Notamacropus eugenii: one gene and its partners. The protein of the gene in region 4 interacts with the protein of the main gene of each other region in a pairwise test. Links are inferred from orthologs where the notes say so. Each region holds a gene or a part of one and is shown on either strand. Other genes may lie near its edges. The genes, in order: RFC5, TCEANC, NEDD9 and NAB2.

Region 1 (7,826 bases), on a different chromosome or scaffold from region 4:
GATGTGACTCTGTCCTGGTTTGTTCAGCAGGATGCCAGTGGGAAGTCAGGAGGCAGAGAACAGGAAAGATCCAGGGTTACTGTTTGGCAAGATAGGGGCAGCAACAGAGGCAGCTAGGGCTCAGTGGACAGAGTGGTGAGACTGGGGTCAGGAAGACCTACCTGAATTCAAACCTTACCTCAGACACTAGTGGTCTGATCCTGGACAAGTTTTATTGTAAAACGGAGATTACAACAATACCTACTGATCCAGGGTTGTTGTAAGGATTGAATGAGATAATATTTGTAATATACCTGACACACAGCCAAGTGCTTAATAAATCCTCCTTTTCTTCTAACAGGACAAAAGTGCAAGAGATTCAAGAGCAGAGGAAGGCTTGTAACTGAACTGACTAACTAAAGATCAAAATTGGGAAGGGAAGTGGAGCTGGAATGGGGTGACGGCCTGGGAAAGTGCACTGTGGGGGTCATGGGAAATATGAAGAAGAGGCTTAGGGAGATAAGTTATGATTAGAGAATGGAATTTTACAATTTTTATCGTGCATATGCAGCCTTGTATATGTACCATTCCATACCACTCTTCCACCTCTGCAAAGAAGGGAGGGAGAAATATTTTCTCAACTCTTCTCCAAGGTAACACTTAATCATTATAAACTAAAAAGTATTCAGCTTTTTTGGGGGCGGGAGAAGTTCTGTTTATTTTGTGCATTCATTAAGAGCTTGTTAAATGCCAGGAACTAAATCTAGCAGAAGAGACAAAAATGGCAAAGACAGAAGCAGTTCATGCCCCCAAAGAGCTTACCTCAGGGCACAGGAGACAATGTGTACACATAAACTGATACAAAATTACATAAAATAAACACAAGGTAATTTTGGGGATGAAAGGGGGAAGCACTAGAAGTTGTGGGGGATCAAGAAAGACCCTGTCTGTAGCAGGAGAGCCCACCTGGCTGAGTTATGGAGGAGGCTGGGGATTCTGAGGGATGGAGGTGAAGGAATGCACTGTAGGCTTGGGTACAACTAGTTCAAAGGTTGGGGGATGGAAAATCATGTGTGAAGGACATTAATTAGGTCAGTATGACTGGATTGCATAAAGGGGAAAAGCAGTATACCAAGTCTGAAAAGAGAGGCTGTGAAGAGCTTTAAGTGCTAATCTAAGAAGTTGGCATTGGATTTTGGAGGCAAAAGGGCCCCCCTGGAGCCCTACGAGCAAAAGCATGACACTGTGAGATAGAGGCTTTGGGAAGATCACATTGGCATCTGGGGGCAATGTGGGCTGACTGTGAGGAATCTGAAATGGGGTTGAGGGTAGGGAATGAGGAAGCTTCAGCACATGTCTAGGTGAGAGTTGTTGGGGGTGGAAGCAGAGACAGGACATGCAGTGGAGGTAAGGCTGACTAGACTCGGGAGTAGGTGGGACATGCAGTCATTGAACTTTCTTGATTCTGCTTACTTTACTCACAAGAACACCTACATCTTTCCAACCTCCTCTAAATTCTTCCTATTGTTTCTTATTAGTGCCTCTGTCTTTCAGCAGACCCTCCAACACTGACGATGCTATCATCTTGGCCAATCTCTGGGTGTGAGATAGAACCACAACATCTTGATTTACAATTTTACTTTTAGTGGATTTGGAATAACCTAACTCCTTCATTTTATGGAAAAGGAAAATACCCAGTCAGGAGATGGTAGTATCTTTCTATGATGGGTGAGTGCCACTGGATCTGAGTATGTAGGTAAAGGGCAGTAAGGTGAAAGGAGACTAGAAAGGCAGGAAGAGTCTAGGACTGGAGACAGGTAGATCCACTAGCAGGCTATTACAACAGTCCAGATATGAGCTGATGAGGGTCGCCACCAGAGTGACAGCAGGAGATAGAGTGATACAGAAGAGGGCATATTTGAAAGATGCTGGAGGTGAAAATGACCAGAGATGTTACAAAGGTGAAATGGACAGATGCTGCAGTGGTGAAACTACCAGAGATGTTGCAAAAGTGAAATGGACAAGAGATGCTGCAGAGGTGAAACTGACAGGCCATGGTACCAAACTGGATCCGGGGGGTGATAGTGAGGAGACCAGGATGACTCCTAGGTTGTGGGTCTGCAGGACTGGGAGAATGGTAGCACCCTTGAAGGTCACAGGGAAGGTAGCAGGTAATGAGGAGAAAATAAGGAGTTCTGTTTTGGACATACTGAGTTTAAGATATCTGCCAGACAACCAGTTCCAGATGCTTGAGAAGCAGTTGGATATATGAGACTGGAGGTCAGTAGAGCGTTTGGGGCAGGAAAAGCAGATTTGAGAATCATCAGCATAGAAATGATAATTAAATCCAGGGGAGCTGATGAGGTCACCAAGTGAAGTGGTGCGGAAGGAGAACATAAAGAGGGTCCTGGACAGAGGGTGTGATCTGAAGGAAGATCCAGCCAAGTCCGAGGCTGAGAAGGACCAGTCAGATAAGGAGGAGGCCCAGAGAGGGGGGTTCCCTGAAAACCTACAGTGGAGACTGTCAAGGAGGGGGAGGGGCCAAGAGCGTCGAGCCCTAAACCGATGACCCTCCGTCACTTTCACTGTTCTCGGCCCTGACCTCACTCGGTGCTCTCTGGGATCGCCCCCACCTCTAACTCTAAGCCCCTACGTGTCCCTTCCCGGGCCTCGGTTTCCTCAACCGTCCTCTGGAATCGCCCTGGGTTCTGAACCCAGCCCCTTGCCCACCTAGGCGCAGTCCCACGCCCGGGTCTGTCTCCAGGCTGCGGGATCCCTGCCCCGCCCCGCCCCGGACGCGGCCCCCTACCAGGGCAGGTTCCTGCTTTTGGCCGCAGGCTGCTGCTGTGGCTGCTGCCGGACGGCCGGGGCCTCCATGGCGGCGCTGACCCTGAGCGGACCCACAGACCTAAGCGCAGCGGGAAATCGGCTAAAGCGCGGCCTGCATCTCCTTTCCCGCCACAGCTCGCGCGCGCGCGCATGCGCCGCCTCTGCTCTCGCGAGACTTGACCAGGCCACCGAGCCCGCCCGGCCCCTGCTATTTTTCTTCCCAGACACCCCTTCGGGAAGTTCGCCCCGCCCATTTCGGTTGCTAAGGCTGGGAGTGGGTTGCTAGGTAACCGCGAGGCTCGCGTCGTGCGCAGGCGCAGTCAGGCCGGGCCTGTCAGAGGCAGGGGCTGGGGACAGAGCATCTGGTCCTGCTGCGTGGCCAGGTCCGGAGAGGCTCGGGCGGAGAGTCTGTGGTAGGAAGGGAGAGCGAGGTCCGGCAAAGAGGGTGAGGGTGCAGGAAAAGCAGGGAGCAGCAGGGATGCATCAGGGGGACGCCGCATGAAAGGAGTCCACGTGTCTGCCTTCCTTCCTCCCTTCCTCCTTCCCTCCTCCCTTCCTCCTTCCCTCCTCCCTTCCTCCTTCCCTCCTCCCTCCCTCTCTTCCTCCTTCCCTCCTCCCTTCCTCCCTTCCCTCCTCCCTTCCTCCTTCCCTCCTCCCTTCCTCCTTCCCTCCTCCCTCCCTCTCTTCCTCCTTCCCTCCTCCCTTCCTTCCTTCTCTCTCTCTCTCTCTCTCTCTCTCTCTCTCTCTCTCTCTCTCTTTCTCTCCCTCTCTCTCTCTCTCCTCCTCTCTCCCTCCCTCCCTTCCCTCCTCCCTCCCTCCCTTCCCTCCTCCCTCCCTCTCTTCCTCCTTCCCTCCTCCCTCCCTCCCTTCCCTCCTCCCTTCCTTCCTTCCTTCTCTCTCTCTCTCTCTCTCTCTCTCTCTCCCCCTCCCTCCCTTTCTCCCTTCCCTTTTCCCTCTCTCCCTCCCTCCCTTCCCTCCTCCTTCCCTTCCTGAGGATATGGGGATATATGGGGATAATGACAGCACCCACCTCATAGAGTTGTGAGGATCAGAGGAAGTCATATTTACAAATGTACCTAGCACATAGTGGGTGCTTTAAAAATCTTTATTCTTTCATTTATTCATTCCCTCCTTCCATTATTAGTGCTTTTATTCATTAATCATTCACTCATTCATTTATTCCTTCCTTCACTCTTTCATTCATTTATTCATCCAACAAGTCGTAACTGCTCTGTGCCAGGCACTGTGCTAAGTCTTGGAGATATCAAGACAAGAAAGGAAAGAGTTTTGCTTTCAAAGAGCTAGCATTCTATTTTTTTTTTTGAGAGAGGATGCTTGGTTGTTCTATGTTTGCTTCCCCTATATCTAGTAATTAAGTCTTCTTGATTTTTACCTCCCCAATACCTCTTGCATTGTCTCCTTTTTTACTATTTTTATAGCCACCAGTAAGTCAGTCCAATACACAAGCATTTATCAGAGTCTTATAAGAGCCAGGCTCTGTGTTAAGCATTGGAGGTACAAAGAAAGGCAAAAACAGGAACACAGGGCCTTGCCCTCAAGGACCTCACCTTCTAAAGGGAGAGACAATGTACAAAAAATTGCACATACCATATATTTATTAATAACAATTAGTATTTCTATACCACTTTATACACGTTTCATTTTATCCTCAGTAGGTGCTATTATCATCTTCATTTTACAGATGAAGAAACTGAGGCAGACAGAGGTTAAATGACTTGCCCAGGGCCACACGGTTTGTAAATTTCTGAGGAAAGATAGGAACTCAGATCTTCCTGACTCCTCATCCAAGGTTCTATCCACTGTACCACCTAGCTGCCTCATATGTATTATAATTTGGAAGGATTCTATCTGGGGTGGAATCTGGTATTTCTGAGATTCCATCCCAGATGGAAGACTCTAGAAATGAATAGTTTAAGAAAGGTTTCCTGCAGAAAGCAGGATTTAAATTGAGCCTTAAAGGAAACCAGAAGGTGACCTAGGAGGAGGTCACCTCTTGCTTGAACTTTTTCAATGACTACTGTCTCCCTGCTCTACCTTTCCCCCAACTTTGGTCTCCTTGATGGAGTGGAATAATTGCTGGATTTGAAGTCTAAGGACCTGCTTTCTAACTGAAGCTTCTGCTACTTGATATGTGTGTGACCTCTGGTAAGTCACAACTTTCTGGTCCTCAGTTTCCTTATCTGTGTTATAATGCAGTTAGACTAGAGGATGACTAGATAAAGGTCTTTCCAGCTTTAGATTTATGATGTTATAATCAACTTCAATACATCATCCACACAGTTCTCAAATGAATATTCCTGTATCATCAATAAGACCATGTCACCACTATGCCCGAGAGATTCCAATGAATCCTATTCCCTGTAGGTTAGAACTCAAACTCCTTAGCTGCTGCTCATTTTTCCTGGCTGATTTTATATTACCCTTGTTCACATGAGCTTAATTCAGGTCAAGTCAGCTAGCATTTTTTAAAGTCCTACTATGTGTCAGATGCTATGCTAAGTGCTGAGGATATAAAGACAGAGAAACAAATGGATGAATGATTGGATAGATGTTTAGTTAAATAAATAGATAAGTGAATGAACAAACAAATGAGTGGATAGATAAATAAAACCAGTCCCTTCTTTCAAACAGTTCACAGTCTTAATGGGAAGAGCCAATCTGGACATCTTGCTGTTTCCTAAACTTGACTCTCCAGCTCCCATCTCCACAATTTTGCACAACCCATTCCCCATCTTTCAAATGCATGCCCTCCTCACTTCTGCCTCTTAGAATTTTTTACTTTCCTTTGAAGTTCCGCTTAGGTGCCATCTCCTCTATTAAACTTTTTCTGATTACCTTAGTGGTTAAAGTTCTTTTCTCCCTCAAATTATCTTGTATTTTAAAATGATGAGTATTGCATTCTCTAGCAGAATGTAAACTGTTGGAGGGTAGGGGGGTGTTTTGTGGCTTTTCATCCCTAGTGCTTAACACAATGTCTTATGTATAGTAGATACTTAATAAGTGCTTGTTGAGTTTCCTTTCCTGGCAGAGTTACAAGGATGATAACCATCTTTCCATCTACCCTCTACTTGCTATTGCTCTGACTAGAGACCGTGCCTTAAAGGATCTGGGTCATTCTACTCTGAATCTCTTGCTCTGAAGCCTCTGTGAACCAGACTGGTGAGAGTCCACTCTGGCCGGTTCTAGATCTGGCCATTCTTCATTCTGGTCATCTTGCCATTTGACTCACCATAAAACCCATTCCCAGCTGTTGATCTGGGGTCAACATTGCCATTACTTTGAAAAAGGTGCATCAAACATGTCAACCAACTGTCCTATTGTCCAACATACCCATCATGTCTGTGTTTTCCCAAGCCAAAACATCCTTCCTTGGCTACCACTCCCCTATACGTGTTGCCTCCCACTCATAGAATATAAACTCCATGGATAAGAACTCCTTCAATTTTGTATTTGTATTTCCAATCAGTTGATCAGTCAACATTCATTTATTAAATGCTGTAAGAGCAGGCATTCTGTTAGGTTTCAGGGATGTAGCTACAGCACAGTGCCTGGAACGTAGTGAGGGCTAATAAATGTTTCATTTCACTCATTCATACCTCAGTTTCAGCAAAGCACTTGACAAAAATCTTTCACACTATTCATGTGGAAAAGATGTAGCCCAGACAATAGCAAAATAGTATGATTTCAGAACTCATTGAATGTTCAGAATCAGAGTAATCATTTATAATTTGATGTCCTATATGTTCTAAAATATTTGTAACAGCTCTCTTTGTTTTGGTAAAGAACTGGAAACTGAGGGGATGTCCATCAATTGGGGAATGACTAAACAAGCTGTGGCGTATGATTTGATGAAATACTATTATGCCATAAGAAATGATAAACTGATTGATTTTTAGAAAAACATGGAAAGACTTGCATGAAATAATAAAAAGTGAAATGAGAAGAACCATAAGAATATTGTATATATAACTGCAATATTGTTTGAAGAATAATTGTGAACAACCAGATTAGTCTGAGCATTATAAATACTCAAATCAGCTAAAAAGGGCCCATGAAGGAAGATACTATCTACTTCCAGAGAAAGAACTGATAAACAGAAGTATGCATAGTATAATTTTAGATATATTTATAAATCTGTGTTAAATAGTGGCTTTCTCTAGTGTGGGATGGGGAGGGAGGGAGGAAGACAGTTTGGAACTGAAAATGTAACAAATAAATAAAATTTAAAAAATATCTTGGTGTCACCTTGAAGGGAGGTTTCTAATGCAGAGATATCTGCTTAGCTTTGTAGCCTTGTACTAATGTTTGAAATCAAACACTTGAATGAAGGCATCATTTAACAATTTAATGCAGCCCTACTGTGTGTAACACATTGTCCTAGCTTCTGGGAATATAAAGATGAAAACAAAAACATTTGAGACCTCAAGAAGCTGACATTTTTCATCGAAAACCTGCTTATCAAAAGTGCAGATAGATGACATGAAACTGGGGAGGGGCAGAGACACTATATTGAACAATAATATGGAGAATTACAAATTTTGCAAAGTGCTTCCTATATACTATTTAAACCTCACATAACCTTGTTAGGTGTTATTATCTGCAGTTCACAGATGATGGCAAATGAGTCTCAGAGAAGTCAAGAGATTTGCCCAGGGTTACAGAGCTAGTGAATGTTAAGGACAGAATTGGAACCAGAGTCAGGGGCCTGAAATCTCCTGACAGCCTAGAATAGTTGTGTTACGTGGCTCCTTCTATACTCTTCTCTACCTATTTTTAAATGTTTCACAGCTGCCCTTTCTTATCTTTTCTTTTTATTTGCATCATCATCACTGTTGTCCCTCCTCCAAATAAAAACCTTTCCTTGTAACAAATAAATATAATCAAGCAAAGTAAATCCACACATTGGTCCTGGGTGAAAGTGCATGTCTTTCTGTACCTCTAGTCCAGGGGTGGGGAACCTGTGGCTTCAAGACCACATGTGGTCACACTTTGGTTTG
Region 2 (7,189 bases), on a different chromosome or scaffold from region 4:
TCTACTACAAAAATTCTAGAGATTTAAGATCAAACATAAATTCCTGTTTGACCTATCTTCATAACCTGGTCCCTTTATACCTTTCCAGTCTTTTTACATATTATTACCTTCAATGTTCTCTATGATCCAGCCATTCTAGCCTATTTGGTATTTCACACACATATAACTGCATTTCCTGTCTCCAAGTCTTTACATGGGCTGCTTTAGAGGTCTGGGATGCTTTCTTTCTCTTTTAAATTCTGCCTCTCATAATCTTGATTACTTTTCAGCTCCAGCTCATATGAAGCCTCTCTGAGAGTTTACTCCCTATCAAAATGACCCTGTATTCATTTTGCATATACTCTGTATATTCTTGTATGTACATTGCCTCTCTGGTAAGCTTCTTGAGGACAGGAGCTGATGTTTTACTTTTGTTTCTATGTTCCATGAATAACAATTGCTTAATTCTTGTTGATTAGTGGAGAGAGAAGCTCTGCTTTGGTTGAAAAGTGTCTGCTGTGTCAAAACAAAAATTATCATTTTTTTAATAAATAAAATGGACTCAGGAACCTAAGCATAGCTCTCTAGTATTAGGGAACTCCATACTAACTGGAGAAAGCTATATACTGCTAAGCATGCTATAAATCTGTAATTACCTGTCTATACATAGTGGGTAAGCTTATATCATCTTTCCTGTCCTCAGGCGGTGGCAACAAAGGTAATGACAGCATTATCATACTTTGTCTGCATTTTCTAGTTCCTCAGCATTTATGGTTACATGGTAAGTCTTCGAATTATACTGTGGACAACTGGCCTTTCAGGGAAAGTGTCTCTTCAGAATTTTGTCGCGCAAAAAATCCCCAAAAACTACCATCCTGTAATGAGAATTGACAGAGATTTCTTTGTATGGGACAAGGTCTGCAGTTTTATTTTTTAGCAAGAGTTTTTTATCCATTTCCTATGAGGTTTTTCCACACTTAACTGATAACAGAAATGTTTTTTCTGCATTCTAGACTTTATATTTCTTCCTAGTTACAGAGCAAGTTTTACTTTGTAAACTAAAGAACTAAAAAGTTCTTTCAAGGGGGTTCCTATTTCAATTGAACAGTAATGAACATGGTTACAATTTGGAGTAATTCTAGGAAGCAGATAGTAAAAGTTACTTGTAAGTACACTGTGATGTAACTAGCTCCAAATATATCTAAATAACCAATCATATGTATTTTCACAGCTGCATCCTCATATGACAAGCTGTCAATGATGGAAATACCTATTGGTGAAAGGCTCCCCTCAAAGTCTAGGGGCAACAATGCTGGGGGACCTACAAAGGATGATCTTCATAATCCTGCCTGTCACTTAATTACCTTAACACTTCACTTTGTTTTGAGAAATGTAATCTTTAACTAGATTGCAAGTTTGCTTAATCTCAGAAAATGGAATGAGGACGGGTGGTATAAAATCATTGAGAACTGTATTCAATGAAAATGTTTCTGGTAACATATGGATGAAGATAACACAGTCAATCCTGGCTCACTAAACTACACTTCCTATTTTTTAGCTCACTTCCCACCCTTAAGAGTATGAAACTCAGTTGAGGCTTTAAAAAAAAAATCTGAGAGTAGGGACCGGTTTGTTCGGCTTTTTTGTGACTTCCCCAGAGATCAGCCTAGCATCTGACATAGAGAAATGCTTAAAAAATGTGTTGAATGATAATCTAAAAAAAATTCCACTTATATTCCCCATCTCCCACCATCCCCAGAAAAAAGGCTCTACCCCTTGTAGACAAACCTTTGATATGACCTTTATTGTAACTTTTGTCCCCAGTATTGATTTTAACCTGACTTCACACATGCGTTGAGGAGGTACGAGAAACTGACTAAAAACTCCTTTTCTTATCTCTCACACTTCATAGCATGGTATTGGCAACACTGTACAGGTCCAACATGTCTGGAAAACAGATCTGCCTTTGTTCTTAGTAACAGCAGCATGCCCGCTCACTCTACAAGCTGCATGTCAAGGTGGGGGTTCCCTCGCTGGAATACAATAAAATCTCAAATTTAAAATCCCCCCCCACCTTCAAAAAGAGTTAAAAGAGAAAAATTCCTTTCTAGTTGCTGAAACTCAGACAAAAGTGTGGGAAATTAAAAACTTGAATAAAATGGAATAAACAATTCCACAAGAATTAAATATTTTTGAATATCGAATTTTAAACTTAGCATCCTCACCAGTAAAACGAGGGGCGGATTCAGGGGCTTTTAAGATCCCTTCTAAGTCTACATCTAGGAGTCCGTGGAAACTAAAGCAATCTCCAGCCCGAGGCAGCGGGACACCGGAAACGGGAGGAGGGGCAGAATGCAACGCCCGTCCCCCGCGCCAAGCCAAGGCTGGGGGTGACCGGAGAGGTCACAGGACGGGGGGGAGGCGCGAGAAGCCTGGACTGCGGCTGCGCCCTTCCCCTCTTCCCCCCCCAACCCCCACCTCTGCTAGGAAAAGGCGGGGCCGTAACCGTCCCCGAGCTCCCTTCCCCACTGCCTCGTTAGCGTCCAAGGGGAGGCTTCCTGCGGTTCGCCTTTCTCCCCAGGGCTGACCCTCGCACCCTGCTCACCTGTCCGCAGGTAGACGCGACAGTTAGGGGAAGCTAACAGCCTGCCGGACACGACTTCTGCTCACAGAGGGTGGGAGAGAAAGGAAGAAGAGGATTGGAGAGAAGGGGAGACGCTCAACCAATCAGAGGAGCCAAGGCGAGACGCATACGTGATTGAAGCATGCGCAGTGCGATCTACGGAGTTTTCTTCCGCCCGTCCTATCAGTCTCTTTGCTTCCCGTTTCTGTGGATTCCCTGCCGTGCCTTCCGACTGCGTCATCTCAGTCAGGAATAGGAATCTCCCTTTTATTTGGCCCAAGATCCCAGATGCACATTTAAGTTGAACCTAATAACGTCAGCTCTCCGTGACTACGAGACTTCCTCACTTAAATCCAATTCACTTGCAAGTCATGACGTCACTTTCCTGATGCTTTGAATGACGGACTGACAGCCGGCCAGACCAGAGGAAGGGAGCCCCTTGAGGCGGGGCCTAGTTTTTTGTTCTTGATTTAGTGCCTGGCACATTCCAGCTGCTTAACTCAGTGTCTGTTGGACACCTTGCTATAAACCTGGATTGTAACCAGACAGGAAAAAAGATGCCTCTTCCGTTAGAAATTGGTTGGGAAATATTTCATCTCAAGTTCTTTCTGTGGAAGGAGCACATGTTTCTGAACGTTTCTCGTTATCTGAAAGGGCAGGCAAATACAGGCACGAAGTTAGAATTTGCCTTTGGGGAAAATATTTATTGGATGGCATCTCAGTGTTGAATCCCCTTGGGGGTTCATAACCTGGGGTTCATGAACTTAAAAAATTGTATAACTTGCAATAGAACTGGTTTCTTTTGTAATCCTACAAAGAAAAGATTGAAAATTAGAGATCCGTGAACGTTTATTAAGTGCCACTATATGCCAAACACTCTGGGGATAAAAAGAGAGGCAAAACCCAGCAGTTTTTACTCTCAAGGAACTCATAGTCAATGGGGAAACTTTGTGGAAGAGATGGGAGAGTTTTGACTTAGGAGGAATTGTAGTAATCAGAAAAATATATATTTGACTTAAGAGAGTCTTGCTATTCTAGCTGAGTATGGACTCACAAAAGAACTCAAATAGCACTGAAATTATGAGATGATTCGCAAAAGAGCTTTAACCATTCCTCTGTGGAAAAGAGGCCCCCGGCAGTGGAGAAGTAGCAGATGGCAAGCTCTATTCAGTAAAACAGCCTAGTAGATGACATCATCAGCGCGTTGGTGAAGTTTTTTGGTGAAAACAGTTGGGAGTTTTGGAGGTCTAGGGCATAATTCATCTGGGGCACAATCTTAGGATTCTGAGTTGGTCAGACCACTTTGTTCCCTCTCCCATCAACGGTATGGGAATCTGTGAAAGAGTGTGCCTGTTGTATATGGGGAAGTTTTTCTCATTATTTTCCAAAGCTATTAAATGGCTTTGTTTTGAGTCAGAATATCTTCTCAAAAGAGGGAAGTATCAGGAAGCCTATTTGCTGTGGAAATGAATGGATACTAACATAAAGTTTACCTTAAATTTAGGTGTAACTGGGAGAAAAGGTAGGGAGGGCTATGCTACAATTGAATGACTTCTCTAGGTCATATAAATCACCATTTAGAAGTCTTACCAAGTATTTACCTTTATTTCTATCACCCTACTCTCCCTTATTCCTAACATCAACTGAGTCATTAAGGTAAAATTCCAAAGTTCCAAAGATTTAACTGGACAATGTACTGATAATAAGGCTGTGAGGATAAAAGGGGTGTGTGTGTGTGTGTGTGTGTGTGTGCGTGTGTGCGTGTGTGCGTGTGTGTGTGTGCGTGTGTGCGTGTGTGCGTGTGTGTGTGTGTGCGTGTGTGCGCGTGTGCGTGTGTGTGTGTGTGCGTGCGTGCGTGCGTGCGCGCGTGCGCGTGCGCGTGCGCGCGCGTTTCTCTGTTTCTTCTTAGCAAGGGAGAGTGAACAGGAGAAGATTTTGCTGAGATGAAGAGATTGGGACCTGACAAAGCTAGATTAGAAATACTGGGATGAAATGGAGGAAAATGAGGTTTGAAACCTTTCAAAATCATTTTGACAGTGTGCAGTGACTGATTTTGATAGACTTAGAAATGCAGGGACCTAAAACAATTTCAAAGGATTCATGGTGGTAATGCCATTATCATCCAGAGGAAGAATTATGGAGCTGGAATGCAGAACGAAGCAGACCATTTTATTTTTTTTGTTTTGTTTTTTCTTTCTCATGTACCCATTCTTTATAATTTTTCTATGCAACATGACATACGAAAATGTGTTTAATAGGAATGTATGTGTACAGCCATATCATATTGCATGCCATCTTGGGGAAGGGGTGCGGAAAAAATTTAAAACTTATGAAAGTGAATGTTGAAAACTAAAATAAATTTTAAAAATCATTCCGATATTTTAATTTAGACATCAGCAACAATCAGTTTGTGGTAGCATATGGTCCTTATTGCTATAGTCCTTGGCGAGAGTAGTTTGTATCGTCTTTTGTATTTGTTACCTTCCAGTCAATTTGTGTTGTTACCTCCCAGCTTCCAAACCAACCAATCCAATCAAATATTTACTAAGTGCCTTCTCTGTATAAGACACTCTGCTAGGCACTGGAGATAATTTTTGAAAAATGGGAACCATGCTGCTCCTTCTGAGCTTCTGCTGACAATATACTGTCAGGATGTAATATGTAAACAGGTAAAAACATACATTAATTGGAGTAAGAAGGAAAAAGTACTAACAACTAGGAGGTTCTATAAGTCTTCTGAATATCAGCTGAGCCTTGAAGGAAACCAGGGTTTTGAAGAGGTAGAGGTAAGGAAGGAGTGCATTCTGGGTAGAGAAGATAGCCAATGTGAAAATACAGAAAGCAGAGATAGAATGCCCATTTTGGGAAAAGGCTGAAACGTAGACTGTGTGAATGGGACTAATGTGCTTTAAACCCTGGGAAGCTAAATCAGAATTCAAAAATGAAGGGCTTTATATTGCAAGGTGAGGAATTTATTGTTGTTGTTGTGTTTGTCCTTTGTTCCTGAAGAGGATTGTGACCTCATGACATGACTTTCAGTAGACTTTGATTTGAGTGAGGGAGGGCTGTGCAAGGTCACCAATCTCACTTTCTTCTCCTTAGCCATCTGGGTCCAGTGGCATGGCATTCATCAGGACAGCCAGAGATGGCCCAGAGTTTATAGGTTATCTTGGAAGCAGTAGGGAGTACCTCACAGCTCTAGAGCAGGCCAATGATACTGTCAGACTTGGTTTTTAAGGAAGGTTATTTTGGCAACTGTATGCAAGATGGATGCAGGGGGTGGGTGGACTGGGTGGGGTGTGTGTGAAGGTGAGGGTAGGGGTGAAGGGAGGAGAGACTGATATCTGGGAATCCAGTCAGGAGGCTACTTCAGTGGTTCAGGTAGAAGGTGACAAGGGTAGTTTCAATGAGAGTAGAGAGGAAGGAAATATTGTAAAGATAGAAGCAGTAAGTCTTGATAACTGATTGGAATTGGGAGGTTCAACAGAGAGGAAAGAATTAAGGATGGTGCAGAGTTTGTAATCCTAGGTGACTGAAGGGATGGTGATGCTTTCCTTTATAAACTCTGCTCCACCTCTTCTCTTCCTTGGGCCCCCGTTGCCCTTATGTTTTTCCTTCCTTCCATGTCCAAGTGGTTAAAATGATTGAATTGTTAAACTGATTATTCACCAGCTACCTGGAAGACTGCTTAGTGCAATTCTTTGCAAGGTAAAGTACTCAATAATTATTGAAATGAAAATTTCTCTAGGGGTATTTACGTTTTTGTCAACAACATATACATTGTTGCATGAAATAGAGTTTATTCTTATGGTGTAGGTTGGCTTTAAATTATATTAGATAAATTTGTGATTAAAAAATACTATTGTGTCAGTACTGTACAGCAGAGGGCAGCATTATGCTCACTTTTTGAAAAATAAGAACTTTGACAACTTGCAACTTGAAATACGACTTAAAAGCAGACTTTTTCCATTTTGATTTTGTTAGCATAGATTGTGCACTATGAATCAGTAACTACTCAATAAGACACTATTTTTTACTATTTAAAATATGAAATAGCAAAATGCATTTCTGAAGTTCATTCTCATAAATTAGGAGGGGAGATTACTGGGAGAATTATAGGAAGATGGCCTTTTATTAGGACCTAGAGAAGCCCAGATTCTCAAAACATCCTCAGTAGAATTCTAAAACTGCAGTCCTACACTCTACAGGGAGAAAGGCCAGTGACCAGCACAGGGCAGCCTCAGAACCCTAGCTGCAGCAGGACAGGTTTGGGAGCATCGTTTAATTGTACAAGGTTGGGGAACTTGTGGAACTAGAGGTCACATGTGGCCTTCTAGGTCTTTCAGTGAGGCCTTTTGACTGAGTCCAAGTTTTACGGAACAAATCCTTATATATTAGGGGATTTGGTCTGTTAAGTTTTAATTCAGTCAAAGGGCTGCACTTGAGGACCTAGGGAGTCACATGTGGCCTTGAGACTGCAGGTTCCCCACCCCTGAAGGCAGTGAGGATCCAACTCAGCCTAAGTCTAAACCATAACAGGAGACAATGCCAAACAATTTCTGCCACAAACAGAGTTTAGTCTTAGCC
Region 3 (7,199 bases), on a different chromosome or scaffold from region 4:
TAAATTGAGGTTTTAGAGTTTTTTTTAAGTAAGGGGAAGGAACTGGATCTGTAATTTTATCTATATAGGGAATTCCCATTGAAGAAACTCCCTTTACTCTCGCAGGTTGACAGTTTATCTGTAATTGTACTGAGCTGCCTGGGTCATTAAGAGGTTAAACAATTTCCCATGGTCAAATGGCTGGTATGTTTCAGATATAGGATTTGAACACAGGTTTTCCTGACTCCAAGGTTAGCCCTCCATCAGTGCTGTCATAACTCTTTTCTGTGTATATATACAATGACAAGATTCTGGATCCCATTGGTGAGTAGAAATCTAAGTTCTCCTTCTTCCCCAAGGGAGCTATCTTGACCCTGTGAGTACTTAGAGCTAGGCTTTGATGGACGTCAGCCCTCTAAAACTAAGGGAAAGGAAAAGAGGAAACCAGGGAGTAGAAAGTATATTTCAAGTTAGCAAGAGGCTAACTTGAGAGAAACTGCCCCTAAGGATGAGGACGAGTTGTTGAATGGAAAAATAGTGGTTTGAAGAAAAACCATCATGGAAATGGGAGCCAGGGTTGTAATAATGGGAAGTGGCCAGCACCAATACAGGCCTCAAAGGCAGGATCCAGGTGCCATGAAGCAGATCTAGGCAAATCCTATTTTACTGGACTGTGCCGCAGGGGCAGTCATAACTGGTGGTGATTACTTGCCACTAGACTTAAATGGCCCCCCCCAGCTCACCAGTGTCTTCTGTTGGAATGTTCATCTTGCATTCACTGTGACTTTGAGTGAGAGGAAAGTCTTCTGCCAAGCTCAGCACAGCGCTTTTACTGACAAGTGAGCTTGAGGCATCAAAATGCCTCAAAATATCCTGACACCAAGATTGGCCTTAGAAAAATTGGGCATCAATAGAGCCATTTGCAGTAATTGAGGTCCACGTTGAATCTGAAATCCAGTGAATTCTAAATAGACCTGCTTATTCTGAAGAAACTCCTTCAGTAATGAATAAGCGGAATGAAGAAGACATTGATCTACAATTGACATTTTGTGATATTTTAAAATGTTTTCTGCTCTGAAATGTTTAAGGATTATTGAAACCTTCTCCTTTCCCCTGCCTCTCCATTTTCAGGAAACCTGGAATCTGTTCCTGAAGCTTATGTTTGATTCTATAAACCTGATTTTCCTTCCTCCTCACCATGTCTTCAATTGTCTTTTAAAAAAAAAAACTGTCACAACATTGTTAACCATATCATTAGGGACTTGTTTTTCTTCACTAAAATGTATCAGAGAGAGCAAAAGACCAGGGGTTGGGGGTGGGGTGTTGGAGGCAGGTGAGAATGAGGGAGATAAATTTTACAATTACAGGGCTATTTCCTGGCCTATAGGCTCAGAATGAACAAAAGAGAATTGTTGATTCAATTTTATAACTTAACTGATGCAGAGAGAGAAACTTAAACCTGAATCATTATAGGTAAACTCGTCAGCAGCTTTGGTTGGGGGAGGCTAAGATAAAATTCTGGTATGGGAGGTATATCTTGACTCCTTCCTTTTCCACTGTTTTTTCCCCCTGTAGGTATGGCTTATAAAGAAAACCAAGTCATGCCAATGGGGTGAAGCCAAGGGAATAGCCTGAGAAAGTAATTTCTGAGAAGAACCCAGGGAATGGCTGGAAAAGGGGAAATCAGATTCATACAAAGGTGAAAGGTCAGTGACAGGGAATGACAACGCTGCCCCCACACCCCATTAGCTCAGCCTAACATATACTACCATTACCACTACTGCTTGAATAGTATAATATATATTTTAGTACTAGGAAGTTAGTTTTCTTTTTTGAAAATAAATTTTTACTGACATCTTTCCTTTTTTACATCTCCTAGGCTTCCTCTTAGGTAGCTAGGTGACAGAGTAGATAGAGTGCCAGGCCTAGAGTCAGGAAGATTTGTTTGAAGATTTGTCTTCAAATTTGGCTTCAAACACTTACTAACTGTGTGACCCAGAGTAAGTCCCTTCGCCCTGTTTGCCTCAGTTTCCTTATCTGTAAAATGAATTAGAGAAGGAAATGGCAAACTACTCCAGTATCTCTGCCAAAAAACATAACAAAACCCAACAAACCCTAGATAGGGTCAGCAAGAGTCAGACACAGCTGAAATGACTGAACAGCAATAGCCTTCCTCTTGTATATCTTCTCCATCTAGAGAGTTATCCCTTATACCAAAGAATTTTAATAAAAAGAAAAAGAGTAGAAAAAAATCTGCAAAACCAATCCATACATCAAAGGCAATTAACTTTCAATTATCCATAAGGCAGAAAGCTCATATAACAGACCTTAACAAAGAGTCTACAAATCCCATCACAGTCAGTCAATCTCATTTCTCACCAAACCATTAAGCATTACTGACACAACACTGTCTGTCCTAAGTAGGAAAAGTGATTGAGAATGATTTTTGTAAGATATGACCCCTTCTTCTCCAGGACTTTGTTTAATGATCAGCAATGAAATCTTGTGTTCATCCCCAAGGAAAAATAGAAGAATAAAAAGTAGGGGAGACATCAGAGATCCAAATCATTCCCAACCTGGGGAAATTGTTCCCTGAATAAGGCTGCAATATTTAGATGTTTTTAGCCACTAGCCCTAGTTCATGGATTATTCTTGAAATATTTCAGATTATTCCCTGTCAGATTTTAGAATGGAAGAGGCATTTCTCCTGGCATTGCCTTGACCATCCAGAGAATTCTCAGATTTGTTGTCCGTGTTAAAGACTCATCACAACAAAGTCTCACTGCCTAGATCAAAATTAGTCCTTTTATTCCAATATTACCTAAAAGCCTTGGTGGAATTGAGAAAGTAGTTTGCATTATCATTTCACTGATATTAGTACACCTGTTGAGTCAACATAGATAAGTAGTACTTAAATAAAATATGTCTGTCCAATCACAACTTACTGTTTCCCACATTTTTCTCAGTTCTTCTCTTTGTTAAATCAGGGAATGATGGGGCTCTGGAGTAGGAAGCTAGTGACTCCAGGGTTTCAATTCAATTACAGATTTCTTCTTTTTCATAGCTCCTCAAAAAGCTTCCAAAAGCAGGTCTCATGTTGGGGTGTGGGGTCATAGAAATGATCATCGATGGCTCCTGAAAAGAAAGATTGAAAGCTTGAAAGTGGGAAATAATAATGAAAATAATAGTTTGTTTTTCCATAGAATTTGGGAGTTTTCAAAGTGCTTCCTTCTCCCCTCTTTCTCTAATAGAATGTAAGCTCCGTAAAGGTAAGACTTTCTTCTTTGAACTCCCAAAATATATCACAGATACACCTGTAGAATACTTGGCACATTGGGCAGGGGGAGGAAAAGTGTAAGCAAGGTGGGATTCTTTTTTTCTTGGAGTTCAGTTTCCCAGGCTTATACTAAATTGTAAATATCTGAAGGATCAATCTCCTTTGAACCCTGGTAATTCATAGCTGTGCTGAGTAACAAAGGTTTGGTGCCTTCTTGCTCTGAGCTTATTAGTTAAAAGGGTATATATATACATATATATATATATATATATACACACCCTTTTATACATATATATGTATATGTACATGTATGTATACACACACACACATATATATGTTCTGAGGCAAGATACTACCTTGGGGGGGCTTGCTCATATAAGGATGTTTAGCCATTATTAAGGAGCCCCCCCAGCTGTGAATGTGAATCACTTATCAAGGCTTGAAGAGGAGACCTCTGATAGAGAGAAGACACCTCTGATACCAACCCTTGTGAGAACACTGAAACACTGGACTGGAATAAAGTACCAAAGGAGAGTGTGGGCTTAGTGAGACTGGATTAGTTATCTGTTGTTTTCTGGTTAATGTATTATTTTGCTGTGCCCAGAGCCCAGACTGGAGTAACCCTCTCCCCATGTGCTGGAGGAAGATAAGCTGTCATGGAGTTGGGGTGGTACAGGCCAGAGTACCTGGACCCAGGCAAGAGCAGGTAGAGCTTGGAATGGAGCAGTCCTTTTTCCCATGAGGTGGGATATGGAGCAGGAGCAGGGAGCTGTCTGCATGTGAACCCAGGCAGGATCCAGGAGTGGTCGGACCCTGAAGGAGGAGAAACTCCTCTGTTCACAAATTAGCCCTGTGTCAAGATGGTGACTTTACAACAGGACAGGAGCAGTGAGTATGCTTTCCTGCCGTGTGCCCCTGGGTTGACTTGGGACCCAGGGAAGCGGAGTTGTCTATGGTGGGATGGGGGAAGTGCTGTGGTCCCCTGGGACCCACCCTGTTGGCTTTCTCCCAGCTGCCCCTCAGGACTTTGAAGCGGAGACTGGAACAGTGTTAGGATTTGGACTTGGACTCTCTGGGCTCATCAAAGCATGTGTGCACCCGAGAATGCCAGGTGGGAGCCTGCAACAGCAGTGTGGAGAGAAAGACATACCCCCCAGAGGACTTGTACATTTTGTTCTGAATTGAGGGGATCATAACCTATTGTGACCTAGGGGTAGATGGTGTTATATTTTCTGCTACCACTGGGGATGTGCTGTGTAAGGGAAGACCTTGGCTTGGGATCTCCTGATTGTATAACGCTTTGGTTTCTTGAATAGGATTTGGTTTTGAGTAAATAGAGAGCTTATTACTTTGCAATTCAACCCTAAATAAATATACAAATATATTCACAGCACCTGCCCTCGGGTGTGTTGCATTGATTGGCATTACAGGGGGAAACATAGTAAATGCATGTTGAGTAGAGTAGAATTGAAGTAGGTCATTGCAAGATTTCTCATATCCATTTAAAGATGAGGAAACAAGCTCAGGGAGAAAAGTATACTTGCCTGTATTGACACATTTTCCAACACTTGGGGATCTTACATTTGTTGTATGGGACCATAGTTCATTTCCTTGGAGAAACAAAATCAAATGTTGTGTTTGTTTGTTTTGTTTTTAATCAGACCTGTGATTTCATTAGTGTAATGAACTCCAGAGAAAGAAAGCCTCTCTACTAATACAGGCCAGCCTCTGCTCTGAAATGTGTAATCATGGAAAATTACCTATGAAGTTAAGTGCCATGCCCAAGGCCATATAGTCGTTATGCTTGTAAGGAAGGGAAACTCTCCACCTCAGAGACATGATTAGGTTTTAAAGGCATGTGAACAGGATTGTCTGCACTGTGTGATTACTTTATCCATGTGAGAACTCTTTTGTAATTGGGTGGAGAAGTATACAGTATGTGTAATTAACCAGAACAATCTAACCATACCCCTGGGGGTCTTTAAGTAGCTGGAAAAATTTTAGCACTTGTCCATTAAAATAGTGGACTGGTCTAGTGGTAGAGGATTTCATTTCAGAGGATTCCAGCCAGGCTCTTCTCTTTCTCTCTTCCCCATCCCCTACACTCTCTCTCTCTCTCTCTCTCTCTCTCTCTCTCTCTCTCTCTCTCTCTCTCCCTCCCTCTCCCTCTCTCTCTCAATGACCATGTTAATAGCTAGATGGGATAGTAGCATCTAGAGCACACACTGGAGGCAAACATGGCCACATGTATATAGAGAACTAGCCAGCCAGCAGAAGGATGAAGCAGTTCCAGGGAACATGACCTCTTGTACTGGAGAAGAATGCTGACTATGGACTCAAGGAAGGACTTCCAGTAATTGAGAATTACAAGTTTGCTCTTAATCCACGTGTTCTCTACATGTGTGGCTTACCATCATCCTACTCTTCCCCTGGTCTCTGTGTATTTGTGAGAGAATGTACCACTAGTTAGGTGGCAGAGTGGATAGAGTGCTGGACCTGAAGTCAGGAGAACCTGAGTTCAAATCCACCCTTAGATACTTGCTAGTTGTATGACCTTAGGCAATTCCCTTCACTTCTATTTCCCTTTACTCCATTGAGTGAACATCTTCCACGGATGTTGTGAGGATCAAATGAGAAATCTGCAGTGCTTATCATAGTGCCAGACATACAGTAGGTGCTTAATAAATCCTCCCTCACGCCCTCCTCTTCCTTCCTTCCTTCCTTCCTTCCTTCCTTCCTTCCTTCCTTCCTTCCTTCCTTCCTTCCTTCCTTCCTTCCTTCCTTCCTTCCTTCCTTCCCTCTATAAATACCCTTTCCTCAAAGCTAATTGAATTTCGATGGCTGATGTCAATGGGAAACACAGTTGTGGAGTGGGTGAACAACAGTAGTAGAAGTCCAGCCATTCAGAATTACCCTTAGGGCTCTGAGCATAGTAGCAGCCACCCTCTAGGTGCAAGTTGGAATTGGGGAAGGAACCTCAGAGGGATTACACTATGTGTCAGAGACAGAATTTAATCAGGTCTTCCTGATTATCTCCCTACTGTGTATCAGTGTTTATACAGAATCTAGTGTTTCTTCCTTTATCTTCTATTGTTACTTAGTTGTTTTCAATTGTGTCTGATGCATTGTGAGCCCATTTGGGGTTTTCTTGGCAAAGATACTACAGTGCTTTGCCATTTTCTTCTTCGGCTCATTTGATTCACTAAGTCAAACATGGCTAAGTGACTGATCCAAGATCACATAGCTGATGAGTGTCTGAGGCCACATTCGAACTCATGTCTCATGACTGTAATCTCAGTGCTCTAATCACTGAGCCACCTAGCTGTTTTTATTATCTATCCTACTGCAATGGCTCATTTTATTAGAGCAGATTAGAAAAGATTGGGTCTTAGAGTATATGAGGTCTAAGGGAACTTTGAAGTCAACTAGTCTAACTCCTTTATTTTAGAAGTGAGGAAATTGAGGTGAGTAAGTGAAACGAATGGTCCAAGGTTAGATGCTTAGGAAACAGCACCACCCATACTTGAACCCAGATCTCCTGATTCTCTTGTCCAGAGCTCTTTCCATCACCATATGCTGAACATCCTATAAACTGGAGGACTCAGTCCCGAGGATGATTTACCCCATTCCCTTCTCATTCTTCCTCATTTAGAGGGATGCCTTGAAGTGTTCGCTCCTGTTGGCTTGAAGCCCCCAAGCCCCAGCTGAGCAGTCTGTCTTGCACGGCAGTCAGTGAAGGTCACACATGGCTGTCTGCTTTCCGTGTTTCCTACAAATGAGTAAAACTGATGCTTTGGCAAAAGTTTCTTCAGACAGCTTAGATGCAAAGTACAGAAGTTGCTTTTTCCTGGGGAAGAAAAATTGACGGAGCTTTTGGTGGATGGGTGCTGGCCAAGGTTTCATTTCCCTTTAGCATTGTGCTTCAGGTTTTCTTTTCTTTTTG
Region 4 (7,207 bases):
TATCAAACTTTTCCATTCTGGTGGGGATGAGGGCTTCTGTCAAGTCAGGTATAGGAGCCAACAATCTGAGGAACCTATAGGTACTGAAGGAGGTCAGGGATTTCTAGAGATTATAGCATGGGCAGGGGGAGGAGGGGAGAAAGGTCAATGAACTCTGAGGGGGACCCTGAGGTCCTTACCTCATGCAGACTGAGCTGTTTGCCTTCCCTGCGCTTGGAGTCAAAGCGTCCATAGATAATGCTGTACTTTCTGATTTCTTCCTCTTTGTGACTGTCATTGTCATCCATCTCAAAGATGTGCCCTACACTTCGAGCTAGCTTCTTATTCAGCTTGAGGAGGGACGTCACCTCCCCAGCGTCTCCCCGGGGGAAGTTCCGGATGAGACGTTCCACACTTTCGATTACCATTCTAACCATTTCTGGTTCTAGTCGATCTGAACCACCGCCCACCCCACCAGACCCGGGCCCTTCTGAGACCCCACCCCCAGCAGGTGGGGAGAAAGGAGGAGAGCTGGCCTCTTCCTCTCCACCAGCACCAACGTCCGACTCGGGAGTGCTCCCGCCTGCCCAGACTCGAGGATCTCCACCTCCCTGGCCCCCAGGCAAGGGAGAGAGTTTCTCTCCTAGTTCTAATGGACTCTTGGGGCTGAAGCTTCGGGCACTGCCCGCCTTGTCTCCTGGGCTTCCGTGTCCATTGCTCATGCTCCCTTTTCGACCACCTGCTGTCTCTGAGATCTTAAAGAGAGGGATGCTGGAAACAGGCACAGCAGGCACAGGCTGACTGAAGAGCCCTGGGTTGGTGGCCCATTCCCTTAATGCCTTTTGCAAACGTCGGACATGGAGAGGTTTGGTGGCCATGCCCACCAGTGCCATGATCTCCAGGAATTCTTCTTCTCCTGCCTCACACAGCTGCTGAACGTCGTCCCCCCCCTGCTGGATGAAGGTCTCATAGTAGGACAAGAGGTTGGCACGCTGCAGGACTCGATACAGCTGCAGCTCCCCCAGTGTCCGGGGTAGTGCCATGGTTGGAACACTGGGCCTAGGAAGGGGCACACAGGAAGAAGATAGGTCAAGGAAGCTCCCTTGGTTTGTCACCAACCCCTCAGTCTATTTTTCCTCCTTGTGAATTGAGAGTTTCTACATTCTGTGTAAGGTTCATTATTCACCTGCTCAAGCTGAAGACTAAGTAGATCTGGGAAAGTGGGAGCTATCCAGAAAGAAGCCAATATACCATGGTAAACTTGCATCAATTAAGAAGTATTTATTAAAATACCTACTATGTGCCATGCACAGCTGTGCATCTGCCACAGCAAATAACAAGTGCTGGTGCCTAACCTCAACAGGACCCAAGGCCCCACAGTCCTCATTCTCTGCCTTCACTCATCATGCTTTTCTCTCATCCTAGCATCAGAAATCCATGGCAGTTAGTGCCACATTTAACTGCCATGCCAGTTAAATTGAAGCCAGTATATACCTAGTATGGCCAAGCACTCCTCCCTCCCCAACATACTCTACAAGCCTCTTCTACTGAGTACACAGTAATATCAAAACTCCACTCCCCAACCCATAGGACATCTCTCTGCTTCTCAGGGCATGACAGAAAGCACCTCTGATCTGCTCTACTTCTCAGTGGGCTTCAAGAAGAGCTCAGGGAAAATAGGGCCTCCCCCAGCCCCAGTTCTCTGAAAGCTGAGCTGAAAGGGGTGTGGCTCATCCCCTACCCACCCAAGCAGCACTTCCCTTCCCCCACCAGCAACTTCCAAGGCCTTGACCTTCTGTCCATACTGCTCCTTTTCTGAGTGTCCCCGCTCCCCATCTTTGTAGTGACCTTCTTCCACCCCTTCTATGGCCCCCAAGGCCTCCCAGGCCCTGGTGCCAAGGGAAAGAAGGATAGGGGTGTATTCATTGTTCCCTTCAGGAGCTGTCCTGCCCACGCAGACTTCCACAGTGGCTGAGTGTGTGGGTGCAAACGCCCCTGGGGCCCCCACCTCCTACCTCCCACCTCTTCCCTATTCCTATCCACCTCTGCAGAAGAGGAGGGGAGCGAATGATGGAGGGGCTACAATAGAGGCCCCTTGCACTCAAGCTGTGTACAAAGAACCAGAAATTAAGGGAAATTAATGCATCCCTTTCTGTCCTAGGAGATAGCTCTGTGTTCTCTTCCTTCAAAGAGGTCTGCTTCTAGCAACTGAAAAGCCTGTTTTCTCTTTCTCGTGCCGTCCTAAAGCTAAACCAGTCGGGGGCGCCGAGGCCAACCCTAAGCGATGGGGCTTGCCCTAGGGATGGAGCTTCCTAGTTCCAGATACCAACTACCCCGTCAAGCTGTGCCTGGGGCAGGAAATGAGGGACTAGGTAATATTCTCCTTATACTCGGCACTAACAGAGCCCTGGGCCTCCTTTTCTATGGACTCACAGCCCCCACCCTTTTTCTCCTCACCTTCATCCCACTCCCTCTCGATTCTGTTTTCTTTCTGAGCTCCCCATACCCAGTCCCCCTCCAGAATCATTTCACTGCCTGCCCAGCCCAGCCCAGCCCACTTCTCCCCACTCACTTGGCTCTGGGCTGCGGGGTCCGGCGGGCGCTGTCCCCTCCGCCCGGCGGCTGCTCAGCAGTAGGGGAGGGCGCCCTGTGCATGGACGGTAGGAGACCCTCCGGGGTACCCTTGGCGGTTTCCAGTACTCCTCGCTCTGCTCCAGGAGCTCGGTGCCCAATACCTGGTGCCCAGTGCTCCGTGTAGTGTCCGCCGCTGTCCGGGCTCCGTCCCTGCCTCCACGTCTCCTCTTTCTGTAGCTGTGTCTCGCTGCCTCTGCCCCCCTCCCCGGCTGCGCTTACCGCCTCCTCCCCCGCAGGACGCACGGGGGAGCGGGCCCGGCGCTGCGCTGGTTGCCGGGCGGGCTGGGGGCGTGGGCAAAGCTGGAGGCGGTGGGCGGGAGCCGGGACCTCAGCCCGGGAGAGAGAACGGAGAAAGAGACTGGCCGAGCCAGGAGGAAGTTAGGGGGGTGGGGGGTGGGGAAAAGGAGTAGGCGGTGGAAAGACAGAGGCGGGGGCGGATGCGGGGGCGGAGGCGGAGGTGGGGTAGGGGCGGGGACTTGGGGCTGGGGCACCGAGCAGGGGACTAGGTGACCCAGGCCCGGCTGGAGAGGGCGGGCTAGTATCTTAAGGGCGGGACTAGGAGCTTTCTCTGCTGCCCACTCCGGATGCAAAACCCGCCTTCTCTCCGCCCCCGCCCCCACGTGAGTGCCCAAGCAGGCATCCATCCCTGCCCCCCAACTCCAGCTTCCCAGACCCTGCCAACCTGAGAGTGGAGTTCCACTACCACGCACAGGTACGCACAGAGACAGCTACACAAACACAACCACACAGAGAGACACATGCAGAGTCACACCAGCCCCCTACAATCTAGGTCCCTTGGTTCCTAGACCTTCTAGTGTTAGCTTAATGGGGAAGAAGGATGGAGATAGAGACTCGCAGTGTGTGCACTGTGAGACGGTATTTCTGGAAAGGGTCTTCTGGGACAGTATCATCGTCCGGCTGGAAACTCATCTGGTCTCCTACCTTTTAATGGAAAGCCTTTTGATTTTGGATTAGAAGTCAGTTCTAATCTTTCCTCGGCGGCTAGTAAGCCGTATGACCTTGGGCAGATTCCCCTACCTCTCTCCCTGGGCCTCAGTTTCCTCCTCTATTAAAAAAAAAAGCATGATTTTCTCATTTATTTAAAAAAACCCAACTAGTGGGTTGAAAAAAACAATTGCTATGTGTTCCTTCCAGATCTGAATCTACGATATCTCCGAAACCAGAAGGTAATTTTAGAATAGGGTTTAAGGATTTCTGTCACCCTTAGAGATGCTCCCTGACTACATATAACCTCACCCTGTTATTCTGTCTTAGAGGTTTACAGTGGTGTTTGTTATGATAACAGCGGTAGAAATCGGCAGAATGTGTACTGATAATTCTAGGACCCACCAAATAGATTTGTTTACATTTTCTAATGGATACCAGTTTGTTACTTCATAGGGTCAAAGATTGGTTTGCTATTGTGAACCGCGGGACTCTTACTTGGCTTTTAGGCATACCTCAGGTAGTATACCTCAGATAGTAAATTGGAGTCGCCCCCCCCCCCCCCCCAATCCATTTTCCTTTTTATTCATCACTTCTAGTTTATTTTCCTTGGGGCAAACTTCAGCTTGGCTGTTCTACACCAGAAAAGTCATATCCTAAGAAGTAAGGCAGTGCACTGAGGGCATCTGGGGGGAGGCAGGGGGTCTTTTCAGAGCGCTTGGTGATACAGAATAGCTAAATGGCAGGAAATAATGTGTGAAGTTTTCTATATGGGATGGTCTACAGCAGAATTCTAGGGGTGGAGCAATTTCAAATAACCGCCTTTATCCAGATAGTCTTCTCTACCCCCTAACCCCCTGCCTCCCCCATTTCTTTCAGCTCCATATGGTTTTTATTACACTCACTCCCACGGCTGGAAAGGGGGGGGAAGCGGGGGGTACACACCCCACCCCACTCCTCAGGACTCGAAGATAATAAGGGGGGGAACAACAAAGAGAGGAGAGGCAAGCAACCAGGAGAGGACAGCCTTTTCCCCAGCCTCCAAGCCCCCAGACTCTAATTCCACATGCCCTAATTTTCAACAGCGTTCACGCAACACTTGAAATGGACGGGTGGGCGGTGTGCCGGGGAGGGTTAGAGGCACCGGGCGCACTTTCTCTACTTTCGTTGGGTCTACATTCCCTGGAGGTTGGGGCATTTCCTGTCGGGGTGGGGGTGAGACTTGAGCAAATAAGATTGTCCCCTTCACCCTCTCCAAACCACAGGGTGCCCAACATGGGGCGGAGGGAGCTGTGTCCGTCTGCTGGTGGCTGCCCTCACGAGGGTGGGGGGCTCCCTGGAACGCCAGCCCCGGCGCGAGCGTGGGTGGACCCTCCCCCACCCCTCGGTTATTTTTGGGGCCTGAGCTGCCAGCCACCGGCCCCGGGTTTCCACGTGCCCCCCTTCCTGCCCACGCTCCCCATGACGCACATCCTTCCACCCCCGCAGCCTCGGGCTCTCGGCGCCCCCTCCCTGCCTCCTTCCCTCCCACCCGGACGCCCTCTGGAGGCGCCGAGCCCCTGGGTCCGGAGGGAGAGCCGGGAGCGAGGAGAAAGGAGGCCTGAGTCGAGGGCTCGGGGCAGGGCAAAAGAGGAGGTTGGGACGGGACCCGGCCGGGGAGACGGAGGCAGAAGGCGGAGCCGGTTCTTCCTTCCCTCGCCCCCTGCATTCCCTGCCTCGCTGCTGATGTGGGGCAAGAGGAGTTTGGTAGGGACGGTGAGAGCTGTTAGTCCTTGAACTCCCCAAAGAAAAGGAGGGAGCGCTTTCCCCCACACTGTACCCACTGAGGTCGTAGGTTGTATCTGCCGAGGGGGTAAGTTGTGGCAGGGTAGGACAGTGGTGACAATTACTTGGCCTGGAAGGTGTCCTGAATGTTTGAGAGTGTGACTGTATCTTTTGGGGTTGATACTGTGTGTCGCTGTCCAAGTGAATTGTGTGTTCTAGATGCGTGTTTTTGTGCTTGTGAGTGTTTGTATCTCTGGGTTCTTATGAGTGGATTTTGTTATTTTTCAAAATCAATGAATTGTCAGGCTCCACCTTCGGCCACAGCCGCCCCCGCAGCCAGAGCTGCTGAGATGTCTGTTCTCCTCCTCCTCTCAACCATCCTCCAATTCTCCTCCTACTCCTTTCCTCTGAGAACAAGGATTTTCCAGACCTGAGAAAAGGGAGAGACAAAGAAACAAAAACTGGGCCTTAAGAAGCTACATAGAGACACAAAGAGAAATAGAGACAGTAACCAAATTAGAAGCCTGTTCTTTCACGGGAACCAAATGAAAAGAAAAAAAAAACACTTTCTTTATAAGCTTTCCCTCTTCCTCACTCCCTAAACCACTTTCTTGCCTGATTGGGAAAAGGGCCCATTTTTTTCTCTAAGGTCCCATTTCGATTGGTTTTCAAAGCAGAAATAGTGAGCTCTTTATCAGTTTTGAGTTTTCGTATAATGTGCAGTTTATTACATTGGGGACTATACTATTTGTTCACAGACTAATTCTTCCCTTTCCCTGCTTCCTCTAATTTAATTCCTTTTACTAAACATTCAGTAAGTACCCTTGTAAGGCAACTACTGCTTTGTAGAGCATAATGCTGGGTAAGATAGTTCCTACCATTCTGGAGGTATGAGGATATGAGACATAAGTAACCACAGTTTAAAAAATAGCACTTGCTAGGTACTTAGAGGAATTGCAAGAAAAGTGTTGAGTGGATTCTTGAGGGGAAAGTGCTATTAATGACTTAGGGAATACGGAAGGCTTTCTGAAGGAGGTGGTATTTCAATTTGGCCTTAAAGGATAGCTAAGATTTCAAAAGTTTGGGGTGGGTGGAGAAGGGTATTCCAGGCATGGATAATATTGTGTGCGAGAAGAAATGGAGGTGGGGAAATAATAATAACTAACATTAATAGAGCTTACTATGTGTCAGGCCCCGTACTAAGCACTTGACAGTTATTATCTCCTGATATCCTTACAGCAACCCTGATGGGTAGGTGTTATCTTTTTTTATGGATTAGGAAACTGAGGCAAACAGATTAAGTGACTTGCCCAGGGTCGTATCTCTTTTTATGTAAATAGTATTTTATTTTTTCTAATTACATATAAAGACAATTTTCAACATTCATTTTTATAAGATTTTAAGTTCCACATTTTTCTCCCTTCCTTATATTGGGAAAGCAATCCGCTATATGTTATATACGTGCAGTCAGTCACATAGCTCTTAGAAATGCTGGTTGTTCACTAATCCAGATTTGTGTGAGGATTCTATAAGGAGGGAAGTAATATGAATTGATTTAGAGAACAGGGACCCAGGATCTTCAAGCCCAGTTTCCTAAGAAAATGCTTAAGGAAGAGAAAAGCAAAGGATGGGAGGAGGGGAAGTGTTGGAGAAGAAATGGGCAGGGAAACAAAAAGCATCACCAAATGAGTCTCATTGCTTACATGGATTTCTGATCTCACTGGCGTGTGTACTCCCTCCAGTGGTTCAGATCGTGGGTTCTCTAGATGTTCTCATCCCGCATAATTCTTGTCTGTGTTCTTCCCCAGATGCTCCTCAGATGTGGTGCCTTATTGTGATGTGGAAGTGACCTGTGGTTCTCCAAAGCTATGCATATATACATCCT

What was found.
Region 1: the proteins of NAB2 (region 4) and RFC5 interact in binary tests that used the Homo sapiens proteins (3 or more experiments, as listed by UniProt). The link is inferred for Notamacropus eugenii from reciprocal best matches to the Homo sapiens genes NAB2 and RFC5.
Region 2: the proteins of NAB2 (region 4) and TCEANC interact in binary tests that used the Homo sapiens proteins (3 or more experiments, as listed by UniProt). The two-hybrid records come from large-scale screens. The link is inferred for Notamacropus eugenii from reciprocal best matches to the Homo sapiens genes NAB2 and TCEANC.
Region 3: the proteins of NAB2 (region 4) and NEDD9 interact in binary tests that used the Homo sapiens proteins (3 or more experiments, as listed by UniProt). The two-hybrid records come from large-scale screens. The link is inferred for Notamacropus eugenii from reciprocal best matches to the Homo sapiens genes NAB2 and NEDD9.

Annotation. Positions count from the first base shown.
Region 1 is NC_092875.1:27,516,217-27,524,042, forward strand, and holds the start of RFC5 (replication factor C subunit 5), read right to left. Parts: upstream 3,015-7,826; 5' UTR 2,857-3,014; coding exon 2,789-2,856; intron 1-2,788. UniProt on the Homo sapiens protein: Subunit of the replication factor C (RFC) complex which acts during elongation of primed DNA templates by DNA polymerases delta and epsilon, and is necessary for ATP-dependent loading of proliferating cell nuclear antigen (PCNA) onto primed DNA.
Region 2 is NC_092876.1:377,331,205-377,338,393, forward strand, and holds the start of TCEANC (transcription elongation factor A N-terminal and central domain-containing protein), read right to left. Parts: upstream 3,022-7,189; 5' UTR 2,585-3,021; intron 2,403-2,584; exon of another isoform or gene 2,205-2,402; intron 855-2,204; exon of another isoform or gene 636-854; intron 1-635.
Region 3 is NC_092875.1:182,734,868-182,742,066, forward strand, and holds the start of NEDD9 (enhancer of filamentation 1), read right to left. Parts: upstream 3,015-7,199; 5' UTR 2,937-3,014; coding exon 2,925-2,936; exon of another isoform or gene 1,555-2,924; intron 1-1,554. UniProt on the Homo sapiens protein: Scaffolding protein which plays a central coordinating role for tyrosine-kinase-based signaling related to cell adhesion. As a focal adhesion protein, plays a role in embryonic fibroblast migration.
Region 4 is NC_092874.1:232,432,180-232,439,386, reverse strand, and holds the start of NAB2 (NGFI-A-binding protein 2), read right to left. Parts: upstream 3,007-7,207; 5' UTR 2,635-3,006; coding exon 2,552-2,634; intron 1,039-2,551; coding exon 180-1,038; intron 1-179. Other genes in the region: uncharacterized protein, read left to right, coding at 4,663-5,313, 7,131-7,160. UniProt on the Homo sapiens protein: Acts as a transcriptional repressor for zinc finger transcription factors EGR1 and EGR2. Isoform 2 lacks repression ability.